Nothobranchius furzeri: one gene and its partners. The protein of the gene in region 1 binds, or shares a complex with, the protein of each later gene. Links are inferred from orthologs where the notes say so. Each region holds a gene or a part of one and is shown in the gene's direction. Other genes may lie near its edges.

The links.
Region 2: ahi1 (region 1) and b9d2 share a complex: the UniProt entries of both Homo sapiens proteins name them as parts of the tectonic-like complex. The link is inferred for Nothobranchius furzeri from reciprocal best matches to the Homo sapiens genes AHI1 and B9D2.
Region 3: ahi1 (region 1) and tectonic-1 share a complex: the UniProt entries of both Homo sapiens proteins name them as parts of the tectonic-like complex. The link is inferred for Nothobranchius furzeri from reciprocal best matches to the Homo sapiens genes AHI1 and TCTN1.
Region 4: ahi1 (region 1) and tmem231 share a complex: the UniProt entries of both Homo sapiens proteins name them as parts of the tectonic-like complex. The link is inferred for Nothobranchius furzeri from reciprocal best matches to the Homo sapiens genes AHI1 and TMEM231.
Region 5: ahi1 (region 1) and mks1 share a complex: the UniProt entries of both Homo sapiens proteins name them as parts of the tectonic-like complex. The link is inferred for Nothobranchius furzeri from reciprocal best matches to the Homo sapiens genes AHI1 and MKS1.
Region 6: ahi1 (region 1) and transmembrane protein 237B share a complex: the UniProt entries of both Homo sapiens proteins name them as parts of the tectonic-like complex. The link is inferred for Nothobranchius furzeri from reciprocal best matches to the Homo sapiens genes AHI1 and TMEM237.
Region 7: ahi1 (region 1) and b9d1 share a complex: the UniProt entries of both Homo sapiens proteins name them as parts of the tectonic-like complex. The link is inferred for Nothobranchius furzeri from reciprocal best matches to the Homo sapiens genes AHI1 and B9D1.

Annotation. Positions count from the first base shown.
Region 1 is NC_091758.1:20,128,445-20,132,557, forward strand, and holds part of ahi1 (jouberin), read left to right. Parts: coding exon 1-84; intron 85-158; coding exon 159-352; intron 353-424; coding exon 425-470; intron 471-545; coding exon 546-649; intron 650-785; coding exon 786-903; intron 904-1,515; coding exon 1,516-1,568; intron 1,569-1,699; coding exon 1,700-1,759; intron 1,760-1,836; coding exon 1,837-1,999; intron 2,000-2,204; coding exon 2,205-2,278; intron 2,279-2,485; coding exon 2,486-2,574; intron 2,575-3,392; coding exon of another isoform or gene 3,393-3,450; exon of another isoform or gene 3,451-3,585; intron 3,586-3,895; coding exon 3,896-4,064; 3' UTR 4,065-4,113. UniProt on the Homo sapiens protein: Involved in vesicle trafficking and required for ciliogenesis, formation of primary non-motile cilium, and recruitment of RAB8A to the basal body of primary cilium.
Region 2 is NC_091743.1:62,502,941-62,506,447, reverse strand, and holds b9d2 (B9 domain-containing protein 2), read left to right. Parts: upstream 1-1,659; 5' UTR 1,660-2,097; coding exon 2,098-2,625; 3' UTR 2,626-2,781; downstream 2,782-3,507. Other genes in the region: poc1a (POC1 centriolar protein homolog A), read right to left, coding at 257-364, 552-731, 932-1,103, 1,234-1,318, 2,966-2,980. UniProt on the Homo sapiens protein: Component of the tectonic-like complex, a complex localized at the transition zone of primary cilia and acting as a barrier that prevents diffusion of transmembrane proteins between the cilia and plasma membranes.
Region 3 is NC_091741.1:109,995,176-109,999,879, forward strand, and holds the start of tectonic-1, read left to right. Parts: upstream 1-1,404; 5' UTR 1,405-1,584; coding exon 1,585-1,834; intron 1,835-1,913; coding exon 1,914-2,034; intron 2,035-2,297; coding exon 2,298-2,431; intron 2,432-2,873; coding exon 2,874-3,022; intron 3,023-4,704. UniProt on the Homo sapiens protein: Component of the tectonic-like complex, a complex localized at the transition zone of primary cilia and acting as a barrier that prevents diffusion of transmembrane proteins between the cilia and plasma membranes.
Region 4 is NC_091744.1:86,200,499-86,205,251, forward strand, and holds the start of tmem231 (transmembrane protein 231), read left to right. Parts: upstream 1-1,629; 5' UTR 1,630-1,862; coding exon 1,863-2,001; intron 2,002-3,775; coding exon 3,776-3,942; intron 3,943-4,324; coding exon 4,325-4,453; intron 4,454-4,753. Other genes in the region: gabarapl2 (gamma-aminobutyric acid receptor-associated protein-like 2), read right to left, coding at 145-200, 1,072-1,105. UniProt on the Homo sapiens protein: Transmembrane component of the tectonic-like complex, a complex localized at the transition zone of primary cilia and acting as a barrier that prevents diffusion of transmembrane proteins between the cilia and plasma membranes.
Region 5 is NC_091750.1:66,889,551-66,893,794, forward strand, and holds the end of mks1 (tectonic-like complex member MKS1), read left to right. Parts: intron 1-25; coding exon 26-82; intron 83-539; coding exon 540-582; intron 583-671; coding exon 672-734; intron 735-811; coding exon 812-882; intron 883-957; coding exon 958-1,027; intron 1,028-1,106; coding exon 1,107-1,214; intron 1,215-1,732; coding exon 1,733-1,866; intron 1,867-2,080; coding exon 2,081-2,163; intron 2,164-2,406; coding exon 2,407-2,504; intron 2,505-3,076; coding exon 3,077-3,180; 3' UTR 3,181-3,513; downstream 3,514-4,244. UniProt on the Homo sapiens protein: Component of the tectonic-like complex, a complex localized at the transition zone of primary cilia and acting as a barrier that prevents diffusion of transmembrane proteins between the cilia and plasma membranes.
Region 6 is NC_091742.1:64,221,980-64,226,622, reverse strand, and holds the start of transmembrane protein 237B, read left to right. Parts: upstream 1-1,572; 5' UTR 1,573-1,756; coding exon 1,757-1,780; intron 1,781-1,966; coding exon 1,967-1,996; intron 1,997-4,643. UniProt on the Homo sapiens protein: Component of the transition zone in primary cilia. Required for ciliogenesis.
Region 7 is NC_091752.1:49,447,604-49,452,271, forward strand, and holds the start of b9d1 (B9 domain-containing protein 1), read left to right. Parts: upstream 1-1,690; 5' UTR 1,691-1,879; coding exon 1,880-1,942; intron 1,943-2,066; coding exon 2,067-2,135; intron 2,136-3,140; coding exon 3,141-3,249; intron 3,250-3,325; coding exon 3,326-3,422; intron 3,423-3,512; coding exon 3,513-3,575; intron 3,576-4,252; coding exon 4,253-4,320; intron 4,321-4,392; coding exon 4,393-4,511; 3' UTR 4,512-4,668. UniProt on the Homo sapiens protein: Component of the tectonic-like complex, a complex localized at the transition zone of primary cilia and acting as a barrier that prevents diffusion of transmembrane proteins between the cilia and plasma membranes.

The DNA of each region.
Region 1 (4,113 bases):
CTTTCCACCCTCATGAGAACATGGTGGCGTTCTGCGCGTACGGTCAGAGCCAGCCTGTGCTCGTGTACCTGTACGATCGCAAAGGTTTGTGTCGTCTTTGATGATTTTTGTTGTTTTTTGCTTTTCGTACACTTTGCTAAACATGTTTTATCATTTAGTTTCCCAGCTGGAGATGCAGAACATTAAAGCAGCGAGCACATCGGCGTCTGCAGACCGAACGCTCAGAAACACGCCCGACTCTCTGCTGCTGCTGCAGGACACTTCTGCTCCTTCGGCCATGGACCAGTTTGCTCATGCAGCACGACTCGCCATGAAAATGCAGTCTGTTAAACGGCGGCTGGATTCAGTTCTGGTAAATCTTCTTTAACTCACAAAATATCATTTAGTTATTTAAACGGGGCTCATATTTTGACACCATTTGTAGGAACCACATCGCCGATCTTCAGCTTCTGGATTTCTTTCGGATCACGGTCTGTATGAGAGCATCTCAGATGAGTTTGTTTGTTTACATGCAGAGTATTTAGTCTTGTTCTCTTTATTTGCAGACAAAATGGGCATCAGTCATATGGGGAAGAGCTTTCCACCAGACACTAGCACGGTGATTATACGGTTACAGACCCCAAACACCACACAGACTCACAAGGTTACTGTGAGTCATATTAAAGTTAATGAAGGCTGTTTGTCTCCACATTTCTTTCAGAGTTAAAACGTTTAAGCCTTCTGTTGTGTATTATCAGTAGACGTTGCATTAGAAGGTGTAAATGAAAGTTTTTGCTCTTCCTCAGATGGGATTAAATGTCTCTCTGCCACCTCCGTCTCTGCTGTCACCGCACTCCAAGCTGCAGCTCTCTGGTTCTTTTGCAGAACAGCTAATCCCGCAAGCAGCCCTGAGTACACAAACCCGTGAGTGTCTCGTCCAGATAATCAGTTATTTGTGCTGGAACAATGAAGGGAGTTTCTGGAGCTGGGAGACGAGGTCAAATGTTTCCAGAGATTATCGCTGCTCAAACTCCTGCATGATGTAACTTCAAGATTTGATCAAAGCTGTGAAGCTTAGAGTTTTTTAGAGCAAGAGAGTGATTTCAGCAATAAGGGGACAATGGTCAAGCAACCTGGTTTTATGTGGAAACGCTAAGTTTCACCCAGCCTGATTACTGCTAAAGCTTTAGGTGAGAAATCAACAAGTGAAGTAGGCAATTTCAAAAAGCAACACGTTCTAAACCCTCCAATGTGGCTGAATTAAAAGTAAAGCGGGGCAAAACTCCTCCTCAGCGATGTGAGACGCCTCACCGGTCATCACTAACACCTGACGGCTGTTGTTGCCTTCAGGAGTTAAACCAGATGTTAGGTTTGGGGGTCAGAACCAGGTTGCTTTGGGCGACTTTGTTTTTCTTTGATGTAGATATTTGCTGAAATTTTTTAGCTTATCTGAAACATTTAAGTGTGACAAAGAAGCAAAAGCAGAAGAAATCTGTGAGGAACTTTGCTTTTTGTTGTTTTGTTGTGTAATTCCAGGAGGGTTTAGTTCAGTCAGTCTCAGAGGAGCTTCAGCTTTTAGGCAACAGTCGGTAAGGTTTGGAACACTTTATTATTTTTTTCATTGCAAGCCCCTTTAATAATCCATCCTCCACTGAGTCTAGCATATAATTCCAATTTAAAGACTTCATCAGAAGGTTAAGTGGTGTTTTGTCTGGAACAGAGCCTTCGTGACCATTCGGGGAATCACCTGGAGACGGATTTGGTTCCAGTTCAGCAAGTAGTGAGTCTCCACTGTGACACTGATCTCAGAAGCATGTGTGTTTGCATTCTTGTTGCATCTTTGTGTTTCTCTCTCAGGTCGTTTCCCTCTACGATTACACAGCTAATCGCTCTGATGAACTGACCATTCGGCGCGGTGATGTCATCCAAGTGCTCTACAAAGATAACGACACCTGGTGGTTTGGGCGCCTGGTCAATGGACTGCAGGGATATTTCCTTGCTTCTTATGTAGTAGATCAGCGTAAGTACATGTAGATTACACACACACACACACACACACACACACACACACACACACACACACACACACACACACACACACACACACACACACACACACACACACACACACACACACACACACACACACACACACACACACACACACACACATATATATATATTTAGATGCATTTGAACTCTTTTCTTCTGTGTTGTTGTTGAAGGTGAATTTATGGAAGAGTCTGCTGAGAGGCACATGTCACCTGAGAAGACCGTTGAGAGGTCAACCCCAAACAGGGTAGGAAAACAGATTTAAATCAGTTTCTTCTTTGGGTTGTTTTACATGAAGTTCTCCCCTGCAGGCCTAAATGGGAGCTGCACCCTGCAGAGGAGCGTCATGTTAACCTATGCCTTGTTAAGATGCATGATGGGATTCTGTCTGTCGGGTATCTGTTTGGTGTTTCCTGTCTCTCTGGTTCTTAAGTTTTCATGCTCACATTTCAAGGTATCTGCTGCGGTTAGTTCCTCTGGGGAGCTTAGGTTTCTCTCTGAGCCAACTTTTTCGGACACCGAACCTGGGCTGACCAACGTTAAGTAAGAGGCTCCCTTTTATATTCATGATGCATGATTACGGCAGCATGTGAGGGTTGATGTTTTTGCTCCTTTTAGGAAAACTGGTTAAGAAACATGATTAAATGAATGCGTTGGTCATTCTGAAGTGTTTTTCTGCGGAAAATAACAAATAACCTAATCATTGCTGAACAACTTTTGTTCATAAAAATTCATCCAACAGGACTGATGGGCTAACGACTAGTCTGATCCAGTCAAGATCAAAGTGAATTCCTGATATTCAAGCTTGTAAATAACTAAAAACCTCCACCACTTCACATATCTAACTACTAGAACCGGGAACACAACCTGGACGGTGAATCTAAAGCTAAACAGCCTCGTTTGAATAGTTTCAGTACAGATAAAAAAAAAAATATATAGGAGCAAATGTAGCATTTCCTGGTTCATCTGGGGGTCAAGTCTGGCAAAAAATATCTTATTAGTTGTCCTAAAACAACAGTATAATGTGAACATGGTTCAAATTTTTAGGTTTATAAAATGATATTTAAAGATAACTCATATTTTGGAGAATGGAACTGTTTTAAAGGTGTGGAACACTAATCAGTCCATTTGCTGTGGTCTCTAGTAGGAATGAATGCCTTGTAAGTTGTACTCTGGGGAAACAAAGCTCTGGTGCACCATTTTCAGGAACTAGATGTGAGCCACATCACAGCTGAGCTTCAGAGCTCAGAGGATTTGGAGTCTTTTTATTTCCTGATATTTCTCACCTCGGATTGATGCCAGCAACGAGACTCTACCATTGACTTGCAACATGGATGTTTTATCTCCACAAATAATGCAAGCATGGAGGAGTTCTGGTGTGTGGTGGAGCTGCTAATGCTAACTGTTAACTTCAACTAGCCGAGATATGCTCTGCTGTTTCCTGGATGCTAAACCAACAACAGCCTTCCCTGTCACGAATCAGGATGGGTGAGTCCATGAATGTTAAGTAACATTCCTAGAGTTTCACTGTTTATTTTCTATCAGAAGCTAATGCAGGAGGATAGGTGTAGGAGACTATTGTCATGTTCAGCCTGCATGAAAAACTCAGAGTGACCGTTTATAATCAGAAATAAGATTTTAAACATGTTTTTCAGTGTTCCACACCTTTAAGCTTTGGTCTGACTGTTATCTCATCAGTCATGTGGAAATTGATCTCTATTTTTCTAAAGTGAGGCTGTTCAGGAAGCTGTATATACAGTGGGCAAGAAAGTAATTATTTCTATAGTTTTACACAGAAACTCACATCAAAACAAATGGAATGCTGGTTGTGAAGATATATATATCTTTTTTTTTTTTTTTACAGAACTAGAAGGAAAAAGAAGATGAAGAAGCCCGGAGAGCCTGTAGCTTCGTCCCAGCCAGCAGATCCTTCAGGATGGAGCAGAAGCAGGAGGAGAGACAGGTCCACAGACAGACCTCTCCCACAGAGACCAACAGGACAATGTAACCGTGCTTTTGAGCCTGATACCTGAACTGTGTCTGTCTTTTTGTTAGAGCTGGTCATTTTCACTTCTAATGTTT
Region 2 (3,507 bases), on another chromosome or scaffold:
CTTGGTGCTGGAACGTGTCAGCAGTGAACCAACATCCCAGCAGCTGGAAAATGTGTCCTGTTGTTGCAATACCACCTTTGAACACCAGAGTTTGCCAGATTGTCCATGTTCCATAGTCAAACTTTAAATGAGCTAAAATTCAATACTGTAAGATTTACCTTTAAATACACTTCAGATAAAAATATTAGACATATCTTCATACTTCTACTCTTTCTTGTGCACTCATCAATACATTTTTTATACATCTCGAGCTCACCCAGCATGTTCAAAGAAAGAATGAATGCACTCTCTGCTGTTCTTGTCCCATAGCTTTATAGTTCTATCATCACTGCAGGACACAATTAAACGATCATCTGGAGAAAACCTGGAGAAAAGCACATTAAAATTTTAAAATTAAACATTTGAGAGGAAAAGTGTAAAAAAAAAAGGTGAAAACTTGACATCACATATTAAATTTTTTAAACACTTGTACAACACTTTACTCATCATTACAAATATCACAGGGAAACTTGCATGGTGTGGTATTAAATGGGAGTGTGTGTGTTTCATACTTGGCACAGCGGACCCAGTTGATGTGCTGGTTAAGAGAGAAGAGGAACTTCTGCCTGTGGACCGTCCACACTTTGATTGTTTTGTCATTAGACGCTGTGACCAGGCTCTGTCCATCACCGGAGAAGTTAACACAACGCACAGTGGCAGTGTGAGCCCTGAATTCAGTTGAATCAGCCTTCCTGCAAACACAAAAGGTATTATTCATACATAAAGCAGACAAACACACTGTTTATTCAGGGCGCTGGTATGATGAAATTAGAGTAATCAGCAGATCTTGTTCTTTTGCCTTTAGGAATCCACAGCTTTGTCTTGAGTGATAATTTCTGGAGAAACTTGATGAGAAGAAAACAACATAAAATGCTGCTACGTATAAACTTACATGCTGGGCACCCAGAGACGTACAGTTTTGTCTCTAGAGGCCGAGGCCACAAGGTGACCAGATGGAGAAAACTGGACAGAGTTTACAGCTTCTCTGTGTCCATCGAAACGATAAGCTCTCATCTGAGGCTTCAAGTTCCAGATCATCACACAAGAATCCATAGAGCCTGTGACTGAGAAAGGAGGAAGCACAAGCTGGTTGAAGCAAGAGATTGGTATTAACTACAATGTGCACACAACAAACTGGATAACAGGTGAATATATAGACGGACAAAGGCTCAGATCAAATAATAATAATATTACCAATTTGTTTCATGTTGCGGCTGAAGTCCACACTTGTCACGACGTCCCTGTGACCCTTGAAATTTCTCTCTAGGGTTGGATCAGACTATGATGAAATCAACAGAGATTTTCAATTATTTTACAAGTTTATGTTTGGAAATTATTTTTTCATTTGTTTTATGACCACTTTTGTTATTAAATGATATTTTCTTCTTTTTTGTATTTTATGTTTTATTTTTTATGTAATTTTCATTGAAGAACTTCATGATTTTCTTTTCTACAATAGGTTCTATATAAATAAATTTTACTTTCTTTAGTTATCCATTGAGTTATATAAAAGTTGCAAGATGAACAGTCATCAGGAAAAGCAGGAGAAAGCATATCTAAATAAATAGCTTTTTAGAATTTATAACCTTAAAAAATAAAGCACCATTGAGATGTAAACAATACATTAAAAAGTACAGTGCACTTCATTTGCCATCTTGTTGAACTTGCGCTGTTAAATAGTTATTCGGAAAAAAGTAAACCAGCGGTTCTTGTATACCCTTTATTCAGTCTTTCAGGTATGATTGTAATTTATGTAACAGCTGCTTCACGTCATTAATTAAATTGGTTAAAATTCGTAATTAGTTTACTAAATTAAAGGTTAAGTAATATTTTTTTAGCAAGAAGATATAAAAATGTGTCTCATTTGCCTTCAAAAATAGAACCAGCCCTAGACAGGAAGTGCTGCCTGACAGACTCTGCTCAGGGAGTGCTGTATTAAGAGCACACTATGGCAGGCTGGGTTACCAAGGAGACGTGAGCTGCGTTTGTTGCTCTGTAGCCTTTGATAAAAGCGGGCTCCGTGTGTCGCATGTTCTGGTTAAAGCGGACAGCTGTGAAATGGCAGAGCTTCACATTATAGGACAGATCATCGGGGCCAGCGGGTTTCCTCAAAAAAGCCTATTTTGCAAATGGGAAGTTCATACGGGGGGAGCATGGCGTCTTCTCTCGGGGCTGAAGGAGGGTCAGACTCAGGTGGATTCCCCCCACAGCGGAGAAATGGCTTACTGGAGCCACCCAATTGATCTGCACTATGCGACCAAAGGTCTCCAGGGCTGGCCGAAGCTTCATCTGCAAGTGTGGCACCAGGACTCATTCGGCCGCTACCAGCTGTACGGATACGGGTACTGCCACGTTCCCTCCAGCCCCGGACATCACCGCATAAGCTGTGTGACATGGAGGCCGCTCGGCTCCTGGCAAGAGCAGCTAGCACGAATATTTGTCGGCGGAGGCCCCCAGCTCCGCAACCCGGATCTGATTTACAGTGGAGCGGACAGATACAGACTGCACACCGAGGCCATGGGCACTGTGAATCTGGAGCTGGGCGTCATCATAAGACACTTTGACAAACATGGCGTCGAGAGCTGAGACGTCAAATAAGAATGTTGTATTGATTGTTTTCTTATAAAAAGTTTGTTTTGTCGCAAATGCCTTTGAAAAATTACACACGGCAAAGTTTTGTACATTTCTATGCTGATGTTTTTACACCTGAAATACAGCTATAAATAAACACTTATCATTGAAGTTGGTTTCTTATTCATCTACCGTTTACCATCAATCCAACTATACCTAATATTTCATATTTGTAACGTTATGAATATTTGAACATGTGTGTGTGTGTGTGTGCGTTAACCAAAACAAGTAGTCTACTACAAATCAGACACGAACTTCCTCAGTTGCTACAGTAACAAGTGCTAGCCAAACTCACCAGTGCAGAAGTCATTTTTCCCGGTATTTAGCACGTACACCCGAGTAAAGAGGCTCGTTGCTGCTTTGGCTATTATGACCGAAATACAATTGTTCTCAACTGTGGGTTTTGAAATGAACAGAGGGAGGAAAATATCGCTCCGGTAATTGGAATTGTTTTTTCTAATGCTAGCTGCTAACAACAGAGTTCAGTTTACGCGCCGTGATTGGGCGCTGAGCTGTTGGCCAGAGTCCTTAAAGGGGACGCTGGACATTAAAGGACGTTTGTGTCGAAAAAAGACTTCAATCAAATGTAAAAACGATGAATAACAAAATAAGAAGTTCCGGATTGTACAAGCAGTTATTTTCTTTTGCACAACAAATCCAAATGACCAAGGGGCACACGAGTGTAGTAACCAAATATGACCACAAGATGTCAGTAGCGGTGCAGTGATGTTTTGGAACAAATGTTTTTTTTTTTTTTTTTGCATTGACGGGGAAAAAACATCCAAATTAAACAATTGGATGGTCTTTTTGCAGAAGTCAGTAGCTTAATTCTAAAAT
Region 3 (4,704 bases), on another chromosome or scaffold:
TGTGATTAAACACAAATACTCATCGTACACTTGAGTAAACTACTTTTTGCTGAGGGTGGGTGACTGAGGAGAACTTTGCTGAGCTACGGAACAACTGGTTCATTAGGATGAGCCCATTAAAGTTTAGTTTGTCGGTTAAGGGCTCCTTTCATCACCAGCTGCTGATGCTTGTAAGCTTCTTAGTGAACCAAAAACCTTTGGTGTTTCATTCACATCCAGCCCAAAACCCCTAAAAAGCGCTGTCGGCCAGTTCTCTCACCCCTGCATGTTCTCTCCCGCTCAGCCAATGGCAGAGGATCAGCTGGTGGTTAAAGACACCTGACAGGAAGCCACAGGTTTACACCTGACACCTGTAGGGGCTGAGTCTCACTAGATCTGGGCTTGATCCACTCTCTGTCAGAGGGCCTCCGGAGTTTGATGGAGGAGACGTCCAGCTGGAAACCCTCCTGGTGAGAGCAGGGAAAGAGCCAAACCCAGCAGCGGACAGTGGAGGAATAATAATAATAATAATAATAATAATAATAATAATAATAATAATATACATTAATTGATCCTCTTGGGTAAATTATTTCCCCACATTTGACCCCTCCCTCAGGGGCTGCATTGTGTATGGCTCCTGGGGGGCGACTTAAGGGTTCAGCATCTTGTCAAGAACGTTTCTGACGTGACCTTTAACCTGCTGGGATTGAACTGAATGGTCGGCTGCCCCCCCCCCCCCCACACACACACACACACATAGCCCTGGCCACGTACAAGTCAGAGGAGAAGACGAGATCTATTGTAATTCACCTTTAGTGGAACAAGTCAAACGCTGAAGGAGGCCAAAACCTGCAGTCTGTGTCTCCATCTAGTGGAGAAAACTATGAACAGAATGTAGAATGAAATACCCTGAATCCTTCCGATGGGTTAAAAAATAGAAAAGTACGTCATTATTACAAGTTATAGAACACGTTATTTCGAAAAACAGTTCTCGTTAAAACGTGATATAAATCACGTTTTAACGAGAAAGTTTCTAATTTTAACAAGAAAGGATCTCGTAATAACGAGAAACTTTCTCGTTTGAACGTGTTTTATATCGCGTAATAACGAGAACATTTCTCGTTATTACGCGATCCTGGTCCTGAGTTTTTTTTCCCTGCACTGACGGTAATACGCTTCCGTAGAAAAGTATGAATAAGTAATAATAAAATATCAAGTGAGGCAGAAATCCATTTTTAAATTATATTCACACATTCGCATACGTGGTGAAGGCTGTTATTACTTAAAATTTTTATTGACACAGGAACATATTTTTATTTTATTATTTCCGTATTTGTGTGAGGGAATTAAAAGAAGGTATAAAAACAGCTGATTTCCTGGTAACACGTGAAGCACGTGGAGCTGCTTTGTGTAGGAAGCAAAAGTGTCTGTTTTTAGTCTGTGAACGAATCCTTTCTGTGCGGTTCAGTTCGCTGGTGCTTTTCAACAGCAGTTCCACATATGAATGCTAGGCGGCGGTAAAACAGCTGTAATTAGAATCAATACCAACGAAGAAGAAAAAGAGTAGGAAGAAGTAGAAGAAGAACCATAGCAACGCTAAACAACATGGCGGTCTCGGCCGCTGTTTTCTCCATATTAAAGTCTCTCTGGTTGTTTCTCTCGATTACTTCTGTCGCTTCGAACCAAAGTACAACTAACGGCGCGTTTAACACGACTGAGCCGAACTTTAGTCACACCGTTACGGATAATTACACAGAGTTCGAGTCCACACCGAGCCCCGGCGGAACGGAGAATTCCCCCGTAGCCGCCGAGCCGCTGCCTGTCTCGGGCCATCTGCTGTCTGCCAAGACCAGCGGTAACCGTCCACGCTTCCTCTGCTACTGTGACAGGGTCCCCACGCTGCGGTTTAATGTGTGTGTGTGTCCGTCCATCAGCTGACAGCCTGTGTCCCTGTGATGAGGTCCTGGGTGTGTGTGACACCAACTGCTGCTGTGACCCAGAGTGTGGAGGGGAGGTGGTTCTGTTCACCAGCTGTTCGCTCGGTTCTGTGAGGAGGTTAGTGGACTGGCTGGGTTCCACCTAGAACGGCTCCTCTGCTCTGCTTGGTTCATGTTGCTGGAAGGTCCCTGCTGCTCTGGTTGGGAACAGGTGTGGCGCTCAGCTACATCACACAGTGGTGGTGATTAAGGAGCCACATGGAGCAGAAGAACCTAAATAGGCTCTGAGACCTGATAATTACATCTCTTCCTATTGAATGTTGCTGTGTGTTCTTATTAAGCTACACAAAAGCTGCCTGACTTGTCTCTGCAACTCTGCAGTGGCAGCCAGCAGCTGTGTAACCAGGAGGCAGCATACTACACTCTAAGGACCAACGTGAATGGCTACTCAGAGCTGCAGTCAGCGGTCCAGAAGGAGGACAACGCCAACATCTTCTGCATCCGATCACAGAATCGTAAGACACCAGAATTCCTTAGGAAGAACCAGTTAAGCTGTTTGAATTTAGTCAGTTTGACCGCGTCCACCTAGGCCCACTTGATCCCATTAAGGGTGATGGGGACTTGGCTCCCATCTTCAGCTGTTATTAAGTGAGAGGTGGTGACGCACCTGGACAGGTGACCAGTCCCCTAATTAAATTGTTATTTAATAACTTTAATTTTAGCACTGCGCAGTGTGTGTCGGGTCTCTAGATGACTGATAGAAAACATCAACTGAGAAAAGCTCTCACACTCAGCTATGTGTAAATAAAGAATCAATCAGGACGTATAAACTAAGTTAAAACCTAAACAGTAAACCATGATTAAAACCAGATTAAAGTTCTCTAGTTTGTTTTACTTCCAGGTTTATTTTTCTAAAAGGGGTTTGTCTCACCTGCTGTGTGATATTCCTCTCCGTAGGTATTGATGGATTGTCCCATCCCTCTCCAGCTCTTCCAACTGATACCAACTTTGACCTGCTCTTTAAACTGTTTGCTCCTTTTCTGTGGAGGATGGAAAACTCAGATCAGGCAGCCCCGGCAGGAGTCCAGGACTCACGTGGATACCAAGTGAGTCTTGGGCCCAATCCCAATACTCGCCCTCGTGCCCTTCAATTGCACGATCCCGACCACGGCTGCGAGTGCGTAGGGTGTCTCGATTCTCAAATGCATAAGCTGATCATGCCCCTTTTGCACCCATGATCCACACTTCACTCAAGTCTGCAGCGATGCAGACTTGAGTGAAGTATATTACCCACAATCCATTGCTGCAGGAGAAAGGGCTCAAGTTCCATATCCGAAAATATGTATTTTCTAATGAAAGTAGTTAATTTTAGAACAATTAGTTGATGCTCTGAAACTTTAAGACAAAGCAGCGAAGAATGCCAATTTATTTCAAATAATTGTTTGGTTGTTTGTTTGAAAGTTTTTAATAAATGTTTTTAAACAAAGTATCACAGCAACCAGCATCCCGGCATACGCAATGCTCCCTGTCTCAATTCTGTAATTATTTGCACACTTGTGTACTACGCACTCGAAGCCTTCCAGCGCACTTTCTCCAAATGCACTTGGCTGAAGACCACAGGGAGAGTATTGAGATTGGGCCTTAGTTGGACGGAACAAGTATTAATGGGTCCAGTGTCGTAAAAATTAGTTATGAAAAACAATCCTGCATATGCAATTCAATGTATACGTTTAAAAACTGCTTATGATAGTGCTAAATATGATCATTAAAGCAAAAACAAGAAAGAGAAACTAAAAATGTCAAATCAGAATCAAAGATGTCCTTTTCCATGCTGTTTGGTTTGAGAGTGATTTGGTGGTAGTTGAAGTCAGAGGTCAAACTTTTAGGTGCCATGGACCACAGGCATACGTAGACCCCCCGTGGGCTGGTGCTGCCTATTGGAGCTACTGTAGTGGCTGGCCGCCATCTTGGATGGGTCTCCATTCGCCCCCAGTGCATTTATTTCTACTGAGGAAGGCGTTTAGCTAACTAAAGAACACATTTAATTATGTTTTTCACAAAATCAGACACATGATATTGCATGGCAGTTCTAATATAAATATAATTACATAAAATAAATTAAAATACAATCATGGCTTTTGCAGCCGTCATTCTGCGTTGACTCTAGTTGGATTTGGAGAGCAAAGAGACCCAACCAATATGGCGGCGAAGCTGTTACGCTCTCCAGCACATAATGAGGTGTCTACATATTCGTGTCTACGCCAGGGGCGAATGATCTAGTGTGTTAATGGTTCGTGATCGTAGTGATTGCTACAGTGTGACGACTGTTACATCGTGTTCATTGTTACAGTACGTTCACAGTTCTACTGGGATTACTGTCACGGGGTCCGCAATTTCTTCTACCCCTAAGAAGCTACGGTGTTATTGTTATTTAACTGTTATCGGCTAGAAGCTAACATTAAGTTAACGATGCTAAAGTTAAAGTCCCACAGGGAGCCTAAGTCTCCTCCCTTTCCGGTCGGCTCGTGAGTCCCCAGAAGAACAAATTATGAATGCAAGTCAACGGGGCTAAATGAGTTATTTTCTAATCTGCTGTGCCTTACGCCCTCGATCACTCTTGTGTTGTACTTATATTTGAATCAAAAGTAACGATGGGTGTTTTGAACACGCCAGTCACGTACTTTGAGATTTGTCAGCTTGTAAACGTTTGTAATTAGCCTGACTATAAATCAGACATCAGCATGTCGCATATGTGACATCACCACAGAACCTCCTCTCCCCTAGCGTA
Region 4 (4,753 bases), on another chromosome or scaffold:
TTTCTTTCCTCAGCTGGAGATCAGTTTAAAACAACAACAAAACTAAATCTCCTGACTTCAGCTCTGCGTCCCTGCAGGTTACATTCAGACAGCTTAATCTGTTGATTTACTGTCATGCCAGTGCACCCCACCCCCTGGACTCACCGGTACTCTGTCAGGGTATTTGTTGCGTATTTTGGCTGACTCCACACATCGGTGCTCTGAGGGAGGGACAGAAAACAAACAGGAAGTAGAGATTAAAAGGATGAGTGAGGCCTCTTGGGATTCTTCCTCTGCCATCTTAAAGCCAAGCCTTGTTCAACACAGAGAGCTCCCTGTGCACAGCAGACACTTTTCACACAAGATGCAGCACGCATAAAATGGATTATCAACTCTAACAACAATTTGTGATCAAATTAAGGCACTAGCTGCCTTTCACAGTGATTGTAATCATGATTGATGCCATTGTGTGCATTGATTTTAGGCAGGACATGCAGCAATGCAGAAAATGAGGCCCGGGGAGGGGAGGAGAGGTGATAGTTGATAAGGTGCAGGCTTTCATTAACCCAGATAAGAGGCCTACTTTGGATGTGTTTCTTTAAAAAGGTTATCCGGTGAGAGTTTCCACACAAAAGCTGAGTTACATAACAGAAATGGCTCCAATGAGATGTGAGTTCAGTTACTGTTAATGCGTTTGAAACAATCCTGACTTACATGTTCAAATTGTATTTTCATTAGGTCTCTTAGCCAATTAAAAAAATATAAGAATTTATTCTTGCTGGATTTGTTCTGACATTAGGTGTTTAGGTCAAACATTATCAAAAGGTGTAAACACACAGTGTAAAGACAGGAATCAGAGCAGATTCAGCTGATTTTGCTTTTAGGGCAACGATAAAGCGACCAAAAAGGGAAAATGGTTTCATGCAGCGAAATCGAATTACAGCAGTCGTGCAAATGGCAAAAAATAAAAGCATGCATTACTGCGTCTATGAGCGGTGGCATTGCTAAACGATGCGGGGACAGTAAAACAGAATAAGGTGGGATGACACGACAAGAGCATCTCTTGTTTCATAACAATCCAAACCCTTTTACCGAGGGAATGGTCCTCTTTAAACATCCATTTCATCTTTGCTGGATCCCCGCACTGAGGCGTGACGCGTAGAAGCTTCTAAATCTGCGGGTAATGTCGGCGAATTGTCCAAATATCCAGACAAACGCAATCAAAACAACGTCAAATTAGCCTTTCAGCTGTGCGTCTAGCGGAGAGGTGACGTCAACGTCTGACAGAGTGCTGCCTTCACGGGCTCTCCGGGAGAGTCGGTCTATCCGTGACTGAGTCCTCACACACATAAAACATAATGGTAAAGGCGCTTGTTTGTATTTCTGTTATTTTCTAAAGAACAGAATAACACATACAGTCAGAATGAGTAACATCATAAGAAAAATACCTAATAAATGATTTCCATAATCTCTAAAAAATGCCCCCAAGACAGTCTGTGTAAATAGTTTCTCTACACTATGTTCATCAAAATTAAAAAGAGTAGCAGACGCCTCATAAAATAGCAACATTTCCACATCTGGAAAAAAGGTTCCCGTACTCTCAAACGTTGCGTGAACGCAGTCTGGTCGTTGGCTGCCATGGTAACCGCCAGACGCCTAGCTAACATGGCGTGGGATCCCGCACCGATAATCACAGAGGCTAACAAAAATAGCATGTTAAACGCCAAATTTCGTGATGAATATGTCTTTATGGGGCTGCTTGACTCCACATTCAACTAGATGGACATTGCTTTATATGAGTTAAATATGTTTGTGAGCTTTTTCTCTTATTAGACCCGAGTTAGCATCCGCGTTAGCGGTTAGCGTTTAGCTAGCGGGTACTCATGGCTTTTTATGAAGTCTACTCTCACCCGGCCGTGGTTCGGTACAAAACCAGTGTTTGTACAACAGCTACCTTATTTCTGGTTGTTGTTTTATGCCTTACGTACATCCCACCGCTGCTGGTTGCATACAGGAGTCAAGGTACAGTAACGGTCACCAGAAAGCTTTTATTAACTGTTCATCGTGTCTCCTCAAATGTCCTACGATGTGTAAATCCTCAGTTACAGAGACAAGAAGTAATAACAAATGCTTAGGTTCACCAAAACCTCGGGTTTATGGAGGGAACAAGTCTTGTAAAGTTTATTGAAGGAAGGTTTACTGAATGTTTTTTATTATCTTATTATAATTTTGCCCTTTTTGTATTTGTTACCATCACAAAGATATTTAATCTGACCATCAAGTGACTGCAGAAAAACCAATCCCAGATTAAATTCACATAATGATAGAATAAAATAACAGGGATATTTACAGACCAACTTTTCATGCTTTTATACTGTGATGTGACTGAAAAAAAATACAAATAAAATATGCATTTATTGTGATTGATGAGTGAAAGTTTCGTAATTAACTTGGAGAATATTGCAGAAACCTGCAATAAAAAGCCTCAGTTTTGTGTTTGAAATTATTTCTTTTAAATAATGATAAACGAACCTCACGTGTACAGCACCTTTCAGAGTCGGAGGACTCCAAAGCTCTTTACACTACAGTGTTTCATTCATCCATTCACACACATTCACACGCTGATGAGCTACATTGTATCCACAGCTGCACTTGGCCTTCCGATTACTGGACAACCCGCTGTGCCTCTTGAGCTGCTGGTCCAATATTAGAGAGGCATCCATTCTGGTTTTTGAGATTGATACAGGTTTTCAGTTCTTGTACAGATCTGACCAGCAGGTGCTGAATATCTTATACTTTAGACAACCCCAACTTTTGCTAAATCATATGGAGAAACTCTGAAAAGCAGTTATGTTCAGCAACAAAGGCTGCAGAACTTTAGTTGATCATCTTTGAGCCAGAAACCTGCTTGTGCAGCTAAGTCTCATTCTCATTTTACACATACCTCTCAGTAGGTAATTTGCAGTTTTTTTTTTACCCTGAAGGTATTTAATTCTCCAAGTAGCTTTCTACAGATTCCCACTCTTAACCCTGTTGCAAAACAAAACTAATAAATCTGGAAAACTCATCTAATATTTACCAATCAGCATCCATTTTGGCTCATGTGATATTTAGACACTGCCAATAAACTAGTTCACTTATTGAAAACATACACAAATTTCTCTTAAAATTAAGAATTTTTTGCATTAAGATTTGAAAATGTGCTCCATAACTTGTGATTTTAGCACGACCAATAAAGCAACATGGCAACGTCAAGTTCTTGTCAATGTCTGGAAATCTCACTTGTGTTAATCCACCAGATTTTACAGGAAACGTTCCTGTTCACAAACTTAATATGGAAACAAAAACACATGGTTTACTCCGCAGATCACCTTAGCTTGTGAGATTTATAATCTCGACAACAACTCGAGAGCTTCTTTACAAAACCTTCAGTTGCTGAGATGATAAAGTTTTATAGCAGCAATAAAAATAAAAGAGTAACTTACCTGATAACAGTGCTTTCACACATTGTTTTACAGCATCTAGTCTAAATGACAGCTTTGTTTCTTTTTTTAACACACCACTGACTGTTTCCAATTGTCATTTACCTAAAAAAAACAACGTTTAAAATATTTGACCATGTTGAAAATGATTATTTTGGATGTCAAAGACATTTTCATGGAAGAGCTGTTATTGCCCGTGTGAATTAGCTTAGTGGACGTTCACGAGAAGATGAGGTGGAGAAAGGAGTTGAGTGGAACTGTATCTGACGCTCTGAGCAGATAGAGTTCACTGCTTTAGTTTCTTCTCATTTCAGGTTTCTGGATAAAACGAAGCATTTACGAAGAACAGCCGGTTGTGAGGTTCCAGTACGAGACTTTGCTGTTAGCAGCAACCAGTGCTCAAGGACATTATGTTGCCTGGAGCACTTTCCCTTTCCTTAACAACATGCTTGGGACCAACCTACGTATCCCCACTATCTCTGTAAGAAAACTCAACGTTCCTCTCCCTTAAGTTATTTCTGAATCACTGGTAAAATCTCTGCAGCTTTGATTTCATATTTTACACCTAAAAGGCTGAGACTGACTGCCAACCAGAGCAGGATGAATACTGTTGAAGTAAAAAACATGCTGGTGCTCAGCCAGCCAGCAGTGAGTCAGAACACAGAAAATTCACATAAAAGACTTAATAGGTGCTTAATATTTGTGAAAGTGAAAACATAAAGAAACCAGAAAAAGCTAAAACACATTTTTACTCTAAAGGAGGATCATTCATTTCCACGAGTCTCTTGTGCCTCTGCAAGATTGTCTTTTGTAATTATGTATTTTTGTTTTGTAAATGAAAATTGTGTTTTGTTTTCATAAAGGTGAGAGAGGAGGACCTGAACCAGGATGGGAAACTGGACCGTTTGAACCTGCAACTGCAGCTTCCGCTGAAACCTGATGAACAAGTTTACAGCATTCAGCTGCTGCTCACCTTCAGCTACCAGCTCTTTGTATGTATCCCACTCCAGTAGCCGTCTCACAAAGAGCTCTTTCCATGCAGAGGAAGAGGATTTTTATTTGTGTCCAACGTGCTTTGAAGAAATATTTCAGCCACTTCGTCTTTGCATTAAAGGGACATTATGGAAGTGTGACAGCCAAAACATGTATAGAAATAATAAATGTCTTCTTCATACATTCTCCTGCAATGCCCTGGTCCTGTAGAATGAGCCCTGGCATTTTTACTGTGATTGCCTGTTTTTATGTAAAATCACAGAAAAAGAGAGATGCTCGGGTCGAGCAGGCTGCTTCAT
Region 5 (4,244 bases), on another chromosome or scaffold:
ATTACAACAACTTTTTTGTTTCCAGCTGTATGCGAGGCACAAGGAGTACCTCAGTAGTCTTGTTGGACAGGACTTTGAAATGGTAAGATAGTTATTAGACAACAAATCCCTAAATCTCCCAACATTACACTGTATATTAAAGCAGCAGGATTTACCAGATCTACAAACCTGTAAGGACAAACAGCTGGAAATAAAGTTAAAGTCCCTTAGTCATCATCACACACTGGTGAAACGTATCTCTGCGTCTGACCCATCCCCGTGGTGAGCAGTGAGCTGCAGCTGTGGCTGCGCTCAGGAGCTATTTTATGGGTTAACCCCCCAGCCCAACCCCTTAAAGCTGAGTGTCAAGCGGGAAGGGTTAAAGTCCCACTTTTTAAGTCTTTGGTACGACCCGACCGGGTTTGAACCCCGATGTCCAAGGGCGGACCCTCTACCACTAGGCCTCTGAGCTGGTAACTGATTAAAGTGCATTAGATGAACCAGTGGGAACGTTTGTTTCTTTGCAAACATTTTTCGCTAACCAGATGTTTGTTGTCCAGCCCGCTGTTGGTACGCTACGTTACCTGATGGATGGAGAGATCGGTGAGGAGGACGGCTGTGATCGCTATCTTTTTAGATTACCCATCAACTTTCAAACTACCACTCTCTCTTTTCCCTCTTTTTCTCTTTAGTCTCGGCTAAAGGATTTGAGTATGATAACTTACACGTCCACTTCGTCCTGGATCTTCCCAATAGTGAGTAACAAGCCGTCTGTGATACTCATTTGTGATATTTAGTTTTAGTGAGATCTTAGTAAACTTTTTTGTTTTAGATTGGTCCAGCTCAATGCCCCAGTTTCTGTCAGGGGTTACCCAGACTTGTCGAACCAAATCACTGGGGAAGGTGTGTGTTTGACGTAAGAAACTGGTTACTTGCTTCAGAACATGAACACTGACACACGTTGATCTCTGCCAACAGGAAAATGTGGCTTTCTTCAGTTACCCCTTCAACTTTGAGATTTTTTACAAGAGTGAGAAAGAGAGTGAAGGTCAGCGTGAGCCTTTTCATTTTGAAATGATGTGATTTAAAAGTCTAAATTTAAGTGTTTTCACTTTTTTTAATTTCAGAGCTAATTCCCCAGTGGCCAGTGCTTTACTTCAAAGTTCTTTCTCTTGACCTGTGGGGGCGCTATCGTATTGAAGGCTATGGTTATCTGCTTTTTCCAGCTATTCCTGGTATGCTGCTGCATCTATAAGACTCATTGACTAATTTACTTCTTTATTATTTAGATGATTTTAGATTCACATTACTGTTATTTTTAATTGTCTTTAAAAGTGTTATTTTATTTTAGTCCAGGGATGTCCACCCTTGTTCCTCAAGAAACCCTACCTAGCACGTTTTAGTTGTTTCCCTGCTCCAAAGTACCAGATTAAATGGTTTGATCAGCCTTCTAATCCCCTGCTGATTGAAATCAGTAGTGCTGAAGCAGGGAAACCTCTAAAACATGTAGGACGATGGCCCTCCAAGACCAGGATTCGACACCCCTGACTGAGTTTTATCTACTGAACATTCAAAAACAAAATTTAAAGATATTCAGATAATTCACCAAAGATTGTACTACAAATGAATTCATACCAACAATTTCAAATATGCAAGATTTTTAACTTCACATGGTTCAGAAAAGTTAATAATAATTCCTCTGCATGCTCCATCATTCATCTCCATCATATATTCTGTTTCTGGTGCATCCCAGGTAAGCACACCATGACCTGTCACACATGGCGACCTCTTCAGATGGGGACGGTCTCTGCATTGAGGCGCTTTTTTATCGGAGGTTCTGCAGAGATTGAAGATCACAGCTATGTCAGAATACCAGGGACCTTCAAGGTGCACTCACAGCTAAGCTAATTCCAGGTTTTGAACCTTTGCATAAATTTTCTCCTGAAGGTTTAATGGGTGAAACATGATGTTTTAAAAATATACATTGTGGTAGTTGTAGCATTATTTCGTTATCACCAAGTTAACTGTGTATACCTGAGCAAGCAAGTAAATTAATGCATTATTATGATTCTTAATCTGGTACAATGGTGTCTGGTTTCAGGGAGACAGGCTGAGTCGCTTGGGCTTCTGCAGTCTAACCTCAGGAAGTGTCACATTTAATCTGAACTGCATCCAACAAGCCAGGTAAAGACCAGTTTAATCAACAAGCAGCTGTTTCTGATTTTCTCCCTGACAGCTTAACAGTTTATATGGAATGAATAAAACATCAGAAGTGAGATTTACTCTCTGCACTGCATGCAAAACACTATTTCTTAATGCAAATGCAAGTGTTCCATTTACAAATTTCACAAAGATCTGTATTATTAATGCAAATTGTTTCATCTTTACTTTTAAAAAGTGTTTACTGTTCGCTTCTGGTTGTTTCAGGGCCTTTGTTGACGCTGCCATTCAGAAAAAGAGGAGGCAGAAAGTCATCGACCAGCTGGGAGGATTTAGTCAGCAGGGAGATGTTTGCAATGTTCTGGGTAAACATACTCACACAGTATTTGCATCAGGGTTTAAAAGACTTTCACTTCCTGTTTGCTGCTGAGTGTATCCTTGTTTGTGTGAGCTGTGAGTTCTGTGTGTGTGGTTAAGTGAAAAAGTTTACTGTAATCAGGCTCTGAATGTTCCACCATTTATTATTTTTACCATGAAATGATTTTATGATAGCGGGAGTGAAAATTAGCATAATGCCACCAGTTAGCCTCTGTCAGCGAGCGTCAGGGCAGCTGTGGCTACATCGTAGCTCATCACCATCAGTGTGTAAATGTGTGTGTGAATGGATGAATGATACACTGTAGTGTACAGCGCTTTGGAGTCCTTACTCTGAGAGGCGCTATACAATTATGGGTCATTTATCATTTAGATTCTCGTTATTTCAAACCACTGGAAGATGGATTTGTTAGGACACTCACAAAATGTTATGGACTGTATACCAAGCCTTGCATTGCAGCTTGATTGCCCAAAGTAGACAAAAATGTAGAAAGAACAGGGAATTTTTCTGCAGGGTTAATTTAATTTGTATTTTCTGTTTGTTTGTTTTATTTCCCTTCAGAGGCCTTTCAAAGAGCATACAAAAAGCTACAAGAGGCCAGAGAAACGTTCCCACAAAAAGCCATCAACTCTACTTCCCAACTCGAGCTGGAATTTTCTGCATAAAAACCAAAAACACACTAAAACTGACATTTCAAGATGCATTTAGGATCCTGCACAAGCTTCCAAAACTGAAAAGTTTGTCTCAAGTCATCTTCTGTTCTTCTCAGACTGTAACTGACATTTTATTGACAAATGTTATTAACTTAAAAAATCATCAGAAACGATTTATTACACCAACATTAGGAGATGGAGCATAACACTTGTCTAATAAATGTACTATAATACCAGCAGTTTTTTTTTACAAAATTCAAGGTACTGTTTTCTTTTATTATTTATTTTACTGTTTATTTTTCTTATCTGAAATAAAGGTTAACTAAATAAAAATTAAATATGCAATGAAGTGGTATATTTTCCCCATTTTTAAAACAAAACAAATGGACTGAAACCCGCATTATCTGACTGCGGGTTGTCCTCCAACGTAGCATTCGTTTTAGCTCCAAAGGGAAGTAGTCCAATTTTCCATGACTGTAAACGCACCATTCTCCATCTTCCTCCAACCAGGGAAAGGACCGTTCAGCGATTTTCCCTCTCAGTTTCACACACGACCAGGTACTTAAGTACACATATTTCACGTTAATTTTGCAATCGTGTAATTTTTTGATGTGTAAATTGTGTGTCTTAGTCAATGTATGGCTGCTTTAGCGTATCTCTAGTAGGCATGTAGCGATGGGAACTGGGCCGCTGGTCGCTTTTCTCTTTTTTGTGTCAGATTTAGCCTAATGCTCAAACGAAAACTGAAATCGGTTTTCTGAAACTAAAACCCTGGTGGTTATTTAGATTCACTGTTTGGGGCTGTTTACTGCGGAATGAGTGTTGATGCTTTTTTTCGTACATAGCCGTTAAGCTAACCAATGTTAGCTAAGGGGAATTATGTATTAAGTTGATGTTTCTGGATTAAAAGTGTCACGCCCTGAAACAGTGAACTGTCTCGACTAGTGCCTGTGGGATTATCGTAAATATTTAATAGAGGTGTACAGTTTGAGGCAAATAGTTGCTTAAATGTCTCTGAAGCCATAACGTATATTTGGCAACGGGCTCCTCATTGAAACGCTCGCGAGCCACCAGCG
Region 6 (4,643 bases), on another chromosome or scaffold:
CCAGGGAAGTGTTTGGTTAAATAGCTGCTGGTGTTGGCGGTGGCTTTAACACAAATGCCAGAGAATCATTGAATGAATTTATTTCTTTTTTTAAATCTCCAGTTTAGCTTTACTACGTTAGAATGTTGTTAAGAGGCTAAAAGTTTTAGGCCAACTTGTTTTCCATATTTACTATAGAAGCTTTAACTTGGGTCTGACACAGCTTAGGAATACACAACTTGGGGTACATATGGGTTAGTTACTGGAGACCTGGTTGTTTTCAAGAGACTTGATACCACTCAGTCTGACGCAGTTGTTTTTTCACCCTCCTTGCATGCTGGTGGTGTTCAGGTGGAACTGGTGACTAGTGTGTACGGCAGACCCACCTCAGTCAGTTAGCCCCAGGGCAGCTGTGGCTACATTGTGACTCATCACCACCAGCATGTGAATGTGTGTGTGGATGAGTAAAAGACTGATGTATTGTAAAGTGCCTTGAGGGGTTTAAAGACTCTAGAAGGCACTATGCATACCATCTCCCATTTAGCTGTTACCTACAAGAGTATTTACAAATTAAAAAGTCTCGTTCACTTTTTTTTTTCAAGAAATGTGTTTTGGTCTCTATTATGACTGAATCCCTTTTTAGTCGTTTTCTGTACAAAAAATGCTCTGGTGTTGATTACAAGTCTTTCTCATTAATATTCATGATATGCCAACATCTAGCCTCTGATTGGCTTACAGCAATGTTAACAAAACCAAGAATACTATAAAATTGTTTTAAAGAACTATTATAGCTTTAAAATCTTCATAGTGTGTCCCTTTTAAATAAATGTGCTCATGGCGACAGACATGTTTTTTGTATTGGTATAACGCTGCATGTTTTTCTTAGCTTTTTAAACTACCGTAGTTTGTTGTTCATCTTTCCTGATTCAACAACGGTGAGCAGGATGCAATAGCGGTGAGTGACCGCTAGAGAGAGCTAAGTGAACATGAAACTGATTCCCACTTCACACTTGTTTCTCAATAATATGCAGCATTATTGAAAATGCAGCATTATTGAGAAAAGCATTTCACTGTATTAGGAGATTAAATTCTATCAAGTGTCATTAGTGACAAAAATATCTTTGTAGTTCTTAAGATATGTTTTTTTAAAAAGCATAATTTGTTTAAAACTATTAAAAGAGAATACATATTTGTTTGTCGTATCTCAAAAAGTTGTATTTAAAAACTTAAATTCTTATGAATAGATCGTTTTTCCTGCACATTTGTGTTCATATTTATTGTAATTGTGACTTGCTTACAACAAGGATCAGGCCATGAGGCAGCAGCAAAAGCAGAACATATCTTAGAACTTGATGAAAAGACACATAAAACAATTACAGACATAAAAAAACATTTTCGCATAAAAGTATAATCTACATGAAAAACACTGAGCTTTCCAGAAAAGATTAGCCTCCTTACAGGGTGAATCCATGTGGGGTCAAAGGTTATCCAACAGTCCCCGTCTACGGTTTCAACCTCTTCCACTGACAAAAAATGATTTCTATTCTATATTAATAACAATAATACATTTTGATATTTACGTCGATCCGTCGCTTTTATTTTGAAGACGTAAACATTGCTCTCGCGCGCACATCCGGTGTCCAAGAACGCTGCTCCAAACACAATTAGCGCGCTACTCGAGTTTAAAAACATTTTTGGAGTAGAATCTGCTTCTATTTTGATGAGGGTGTGACCGGGTTGCTTATTACTGTCGTGTTGTTCGGTGAAAAGATTAAGAATGGACGCAGGACACGCAAACGTGGGAAGTTTTTACCCTCTTTAGCTAGCCTTCATAGTGTTTTGTGATTTAAATACGTCAAATAATATCAATGCAATCCAGTCAAATGCTTTATTATTGTGTTAAGTTGTTCGTTTGAAGTGTTTATGTGATAATATTAATGTTGTACGCGATAATGCTCGAACTAATGTAAGTTCTTTGTATGTTCAGAGGGTCAGGGAGCTCCCTCCGCTAACACAGGTCAGTGACTCACACCCACGTACGCAGCCTCATCATTGTTTGTTCTCATATTATATGAATTACTTACTGCAGCCGCAGTGTCATAACAAACGGAGGGACCGCCGATCATACTAGCGTGCTCTTCCCCGGCTGCGCCATTCACACACTCACCACGTTTCCATGGCAACAGACGGTTAGATGATAGATGTTGTGTAAGAGAAGCATAACTCCAGTAACACCCACACAAATACTAAACGTCTAATGTAACGTTGGGACATATTTTAACTATGTTATTTTGCTACTGTAAGGAGTTTCAAAAATGTTTTTAAAGCTTTTTAAATCGTGAAAGCACGAACCGGAAGTCAGCTTTTACTTTGAAAGCAGCACCTCAGCTAGAAAGCGGAAGTACTGCAAATTTTATCGTAAAACGTTACAACGTAAAAGTAATGGTCCTTATTTGAGGAGTTTTAAAAGAAAATATGCTATTGGAAGATTTTAAATATTTTGTAAAATATCTTCATAACGGTGAAGAAATATTCAAAAACGTCTAAATCTTTATATTGTTATAGAAGTGTTTATTTTTATTACTAACATATTGCTTTGTCTAAAGAAGCACCTGCTTCATTGTGACTGCTGAGCATTAATAAATGTACACGATGGAAGTTAGAACTAGAAAGTCAGGTCATTTAAAAATGTTTCAGATAAGCAAAAAATGTAAATATCAGTCAAATATAACCTGGGTTAACATAAAACGAAGGAGTAGAAAGCTATCCAAAACAACTTTGCCCTATCTTTAAACACTTTTCCCCTTTTGTTAAATTAACCCCTTATCTATAAAGATAACTTCACTTCCCCTGTTGAAGAATTGTAGCATTAAGAAATCACTTCAATAGAATTTGTCTGATAGCATGAAGAAGGAAGGTTAAAAGACCTCAAAAAGCAACAAACCATGCCCCGTTCGTAAGGGATTCAGGAAAAAAGGAATCCAGAACGACATCTGAATCCCCTCAGGTCTGAGTACCATGACAAGCCCACTACTGACCAAGGATTTACCAACAACCACCATATAGCTTTATGAAACTTTGGAGCTCTTTGTTTATTATTTATATACTTAAATATGCAAGTGAGGCCTTTGAGTAGTTTACTGTTGTACCAGTATCATTAGAAAGATTAAACCAGATTCCACTGAATCCTTTCATTTTAAACTTCTCTGTAATAAACCACTTCACTGCTGCTTCATCTGACCTTTGACCCCAAGTAATCCTCAGTCCTGCCAGATTTAGCCGAGGATTTCAGAGTTGGGATGACGCGTGTTGCTTTGCTTCACTTTGACTCAGTTCTTAGTTGAAATAACCAGAACGACGACGGTAAGATTTTTGTCATCTTGCCTGTTTGATATGATCTTGTCACTAACGAGAGTCGGTGCTTTAAATACACTCATGCCGTGTGCTTGTCTGGTTTTGTAGGAGAGGATGTGACTGTTTGTAAAAATGGATTTACTGAAATGTCTTGCCACGGATCTGGTTTGTATTTGGCGATACCACTTCTGAAAATTCAGTTTCATTAGAGAAAATAACTGCTAGCTAGATGTTTTTTTTTTTTTGCCCTTTTCTGACCGACATGCCGTGTTTGACAGTTTCCAGTTAGATTTAATAGCACTTCATACTGAAAGGTAAACATGCATGTCTTTCATTTAACGTGTTGCCTTTAAATTCCATTAGTTTGCAATACATTACTCTAATGTTGTAACCAGCGGGGATCCAAAGGGAATATTTTTATTTTGAGGAAAGCACTTTGATTAGTGCTTTGCACACTCCTCAAAACTTAGTTTAGGCAGCATAATTATTCATTTTCACTTTTAAACAGGGGTCAGTGGCTGAGTTACAGCGGGCTAACATACTGTTAAAAAGAGAAATTACAAAGGCTAAACATGAATATAGAAGACAGCTGGAGAACAAAATGGCAGCAAATAAACTTGGTTCAGCATGGACTAGCATGAGAATTATTGCAGGACATGGCTCCGAGGCACAGTACACAACCATCTGTCTAGACCCGTTTAACACTGACAGGGAACTAGCTAATGCCCTGAACAGTTTTGATTGTCGGTATGACGCTCTGGATTTCAGCGGGGAACAGGGTGTCCTGAGGGAGAAATTTAAGGATAGTGACCATTTTAAAGTTGACATGGAGGACATAGGTAGGGCCATCAGGACAGTTAGAGTGGACAAGAGCCGAGGACCAGATGACATTTGTGGCCACTTACTTAAATTCTGTGCATACCAGCTGACACCTATACTGCACCACATTTTTAATGAATCTTTACGGTTACAAAAGTTCCCTGAACCGTGGAAGGATGCAGAAATTGTACCGATTCCTAAGGTGAGACATCCAGGTATTTTAAATGATTTCCGCCTTGTTGCTCTAACTTCCATTTTAATGAAAATCTTTGAAAAGCTGGTTAGATGCGAGCTTTTAAAGCAGACACAGCGACTGCTGGACCCTCTACAGTTTGCACATCAGGCTGGGAGGGGTGTGGAGGATGCAACGGTCACTCTGTTAGATATGCTTTTCATCATCTGGACCTAGTAGGAACTCATGCTCGACTCCTCTTTGTGGACTTTTCGTCCGCTTTCAACACCAACCTACTGCTTTGGTTAATAGGCTAGAG
Region 7 (4,668 bases), on another chromosome or scaffold:
GCACCAATATGAAATGTTTGGGCCGATACCGATATCCGATATAAAGATCACTGTTATGGCCGATAACCGATATTTGCCGATACTGAAAAACTGACATTAATGCTTCTAAAATCAGCAGATTTTGTATAGAATGAAAATGATTAAAGCTGATTTTACGTTATTATGTACACACAACACACACATGTACGCTTCTGATATGATTACATCCACTGTGCACATGACTAAACAACCACACATCACCCCTCACCCTCTGAAACAGGCAAACAAATGGAGATGAGATGGAAAAAATATCGGTTGTTAATATCGGCTCGCTTTTATTTATCGAACCGATACTGATATGTTAAAAATGACTAACATTGGCCGATACTGATATTGATGCCGATATATTGTCCATCCCTAATCGCAATGTTTACTTTGTGAAGTGCCCAGAGACAACTCTTGGCGCTGTATTGGTAAACTGAACTAAATTGAGCCAAACAAGGATCACTGATTGGCCTGACCAAGAGTTGTTTAGGCCACAGAGTGTGGGTAGACCGACCTGCAGGGTAAAATATTTTTGAACCGCATTGGTTTGTCTAGTTTTCTAGGCTTATGCTCTCAGAACTTGCCTTCCCTGTCTTCCTGTCATAGATTCAACAAGGTGTTGGAACCCGTCCTCAGAGATTCTGGTCCATGTCATCCCACTTTTACATCCATGAGGGGAATCTCCCATTCCACCACATCCCAAAGATTCTGGACCAGACTGAGATTTGGTAACTGGAACCCATGGTCATGTTCCAGATCCAGTTAGAGATTATCTAATCTTTGTGACATGGTGCATGATCCTGCTGGAAGTAGCCATCAGAAGATGGGTCCAAGTGGTCAGAAAGGGTTAGGCTAGATTTCTAAATGCATCGAGTTCCTGCCATATGATCGCGAAGATCAAAAAAGAGCTGGAGGTGAAAAAGTGATACAGGTGCTGAGCTTGGCAGACAAAATGGGAGATAAAAGGAAGCAGGTGCAATAAGAGCTGCTGTTTATGGAGCTGCAAAGGTCAGAAGACTTGGGGTGGGCCCTGGAGACAGCAGGAAGCACTGTGTGGGAGAGAGCTGAGAGAAGAGCAAAAAAAAAAAGGTTGCTGGGTATGAAACAGCTGAAAGAAAGAGCTGTTTTTGTCACATCTGAAACAAAACACAGTATTTAGACACACGTGCCAGAGGGGTTTACATACTTTGGAATGCAGATTTTTTGGTTTCATTCATTTCTGATTTTCAAGCATGTGGCGCAGTAGGAAAAGCAGACATCCATGTTTATATACAGCACTGGAGGTGTCCAGTTAGCTGGAAATTTTAAGTTAGGCTTCTTGTTTTGGATGTTGTTTTGTTTCAGTTATTGTTGAACAGACATTGCAGTCCTTTGGGCCTACAAAACAATAAAACGATGGTTGAGAAATAACATTTTCAGGGCTGGTAATAAGGTTAAAAAACGATTTTCAAACATGTTTGGTCGTGAAGTGATTTCAGTCGTGAATGAGAACGAACCTGCATTTTTAAAAGTCAGTGTATTTGATTTTGCTACCCTCTAGTGGACGCCTAGACAATTAAACCAGAGTTTTTATATTGTTTCTCCGCCTTCTTTTCTCCTTTTAATAAACTTCGGGTGTTTATAAAAATAAGTATTTTGACTGAATTTCTTGAATTACTTTTTGCTCTATTTAAAATTAATTTTAACACGTGATGGCCCAATATCACCAATAAGAATTGCGTTTAATTTTATCCAAACCGGTAGCCATAGGGAGGAGTAAACGTTGCCTTAGCAACAACCTCGGATCGCTTCAGACTGACCAAATTAGCTCGACTTATTTAACAGACTTTTACTTTCTTGAACCTCTGGAGTCACGATGGCAACAAACAACCCGAGCGTGTTCCTCCTCACGGTGAACGGGCAGATTGAGGGAGCGAACGTAAGTCGTCTTTTTAGCTAGTTTTAGCTTAGCTGCTAGCGTTAGCATTAGCAACAATGGCTCGTTTGGTGCTTCATCCGGGATGTTCCGGGTTGTTTATGGTGATGTTTGTCTTTTATTTCAGTTTCCAGAGCATGACAATCTGTACTGCAAATATTGTTACGTGTACGGCCACGACTGGGCTCCAACCACAGTGAGTATTACAACCATTAGCATTTAGGATGAAACATGAAGTATGCTTGTTGGGTACCACTTTACAATACTAATACATTTATTATAGTGATGTTATTAATGTTTTCAACGTTTTAAAGCCATTAAGTGTTTATTATGCACGAATTAAGGGTGAGAATGAGACTAAACTGGCCGGATTCTTGCCGGTATACTTCTACTAGACTGTATGTATTACACAGATCAGACTGCTATATAAACAATTTATTAGCATATTATAAAAACATAACTATCACATGACGTCAAAAGTGTAAAAAACATGTAACTTTCTGAAATGTTTTAATATAGAAACTAGAGGAAATATATGGGTGATCAGATATGGCTCACTATTGGGCAAGATGTCTCTTTTCCACTCTTCGTTCATGTAAAATAAACGTCTTGGGTTCTGAGAGCACTTATTGTGCATTTTTAATTTTCATCTATCTGTTCTGGATTTGTAAGACCTCAGAAATATATTATTTAAAGCAAATACTAACTGATAATGGATTTTTTTTAGCTCTAAATTAAAAATAATTAATTACGTTTCCTTGAGTAATAATACAATTTTGTAAGATATAAACAAAATGATATCTCAAGGCTTTTTCCACATATGTGGATGCTGTGTTTACAGATGGGTTCATAACAATAAACCTTATTGTTAAAGATGTTCAATATGCTTTTTTTTACGGATAATACTACGTTTGAACACGAACCCACACAGATGCAGACAGTAACAAACGAAACCTCAGATCAGCCATATTTTGATGTGTTTGAGGAGTTTGATGTATAATGTGAGCATGTTATGCAAAGGTTGTGTCATTCAAACAGTAAAAAAGATAACTCAACGATGTTACATTTTAATGCCAATATCGGACGATGGTATTGCCCAATAACGTCAGACGTGACTTTCAAGGATACAGAACAGGGTTTATAGATAGTTAATGCAGCGGTGGCTGGATGGAGTTGTGTTGTAACGAATGTGACTCTCCAGGGACTGGAAGAAGGAATAACTCAAATAACCTGCAAAAACAGTCAGACACAGAGATTAGTCTGGAACTTTCCTCTGGAGACGACGTTTAAGAGCACAAATCCTTTTGGGTGTGAGTAGATCACAATTTCATCATCATCATCATCATCATGTGTGACTCTTTAGGATTAACGCCGTTTGTCCCCCAGGGCCTCAGCTGGTGGTGAGTGTGTACGGACCAGATGTGTTTGGTAACGATGTGGTCAGAGGCTATGGAGCAACGCACATCCCCTTCACACCTGGACAGTCAGTATTACTTTCATGTTTGACCTAAAAGCATACAGAATGTGTTACTTCGGTTTGAAGATACAGATCTGAATGTTTTTCACTTGTCAGACATAAAAGATCCATCCCCATGTTCGTTCCCGAGCCCACGTGGAGACTTCAGAAGTTCACAGGGTGAGATCGGTCTCCTTAGCTGTTGGAAACCCGTGATCTTTAGAGGAACAGTAAATATTTCATCTTCCTCTCATGTGGAACGCAAGCTTCCAACACAAACACACGTTTTAAAGGTTCATTTTTGACTAATCTTTGTCACGTTTGGATACTTTAGATTCACACTCGGGCTTGTTTGATGTTGCTCTCAGTCTTTTTAGTGTTTTTCTTTTCATTTTTACCATGAAAACTGAATATTAATGTGATTATTATTAGATCTGATGGAGTTTTTTGCCATTTTGAGGAGCGTTTTGTGTAAAACTTACTAATTATCTGGTCAGAGAAACAGACTGTGCATCCTAGAGGACTGATGAGCCACATCCAGGCCTCTAAATGTCATAGATCGCCATGTGAGGTCATTTCACTGCTGTCAGGTTCTCATCACATAGACATTTTAGCAGAAATATGAATAAATTCCTGCAGGACCTGACCCCTGATGCACCAGAAATGCTAGTTTATTGGGGATGTTTACATTTGTAAAGAATGTGATGAACCACAGTGAGCTTTAGCAGACCTGTGCCGTTTTAGGACAGCAGCAACTGGGACTAGCCATTAGCACGGCCTTCGTGAAGGATGCAAATTATTCAGGAAGCTGTGAACTGTTTCAGAGAAACACGCTAAAAGATCCTATTTCTGTTCAGCTGGCTGCTGGGGCGGCGGCCCGAGTACACAGACCCTAAGGTCGTGGCCCAGGGTGAAGGCAGAGAAGGTTAGTGGTGCTTTTTCTTCTTTTACCTTTCTAGAATAAAACTTTTAACATATATATATTTTTCCGTTTCAGTGACAAGAGTTTGTTCCCAAGGCTCTGTAACCGTCTCCTTTCACATCATGAGTAAAGACATGAAGAAGATGGGCTACGACGTGGGACCGTCACACGTCCACTCTGCCACGCCGGACTGAGCCACACCAACTCCTCCACGTGGATTTAGAGCAGTCAGCCACAACCTCTGAACTCTGAGCTGACTCGCCTTTTGGAAAACAACCAGTCAGAAACCGACACAGGAACACTAGAGGGGCTGATAAATGGATGCTCTGACTGTAGTTATCTTCTCACGGA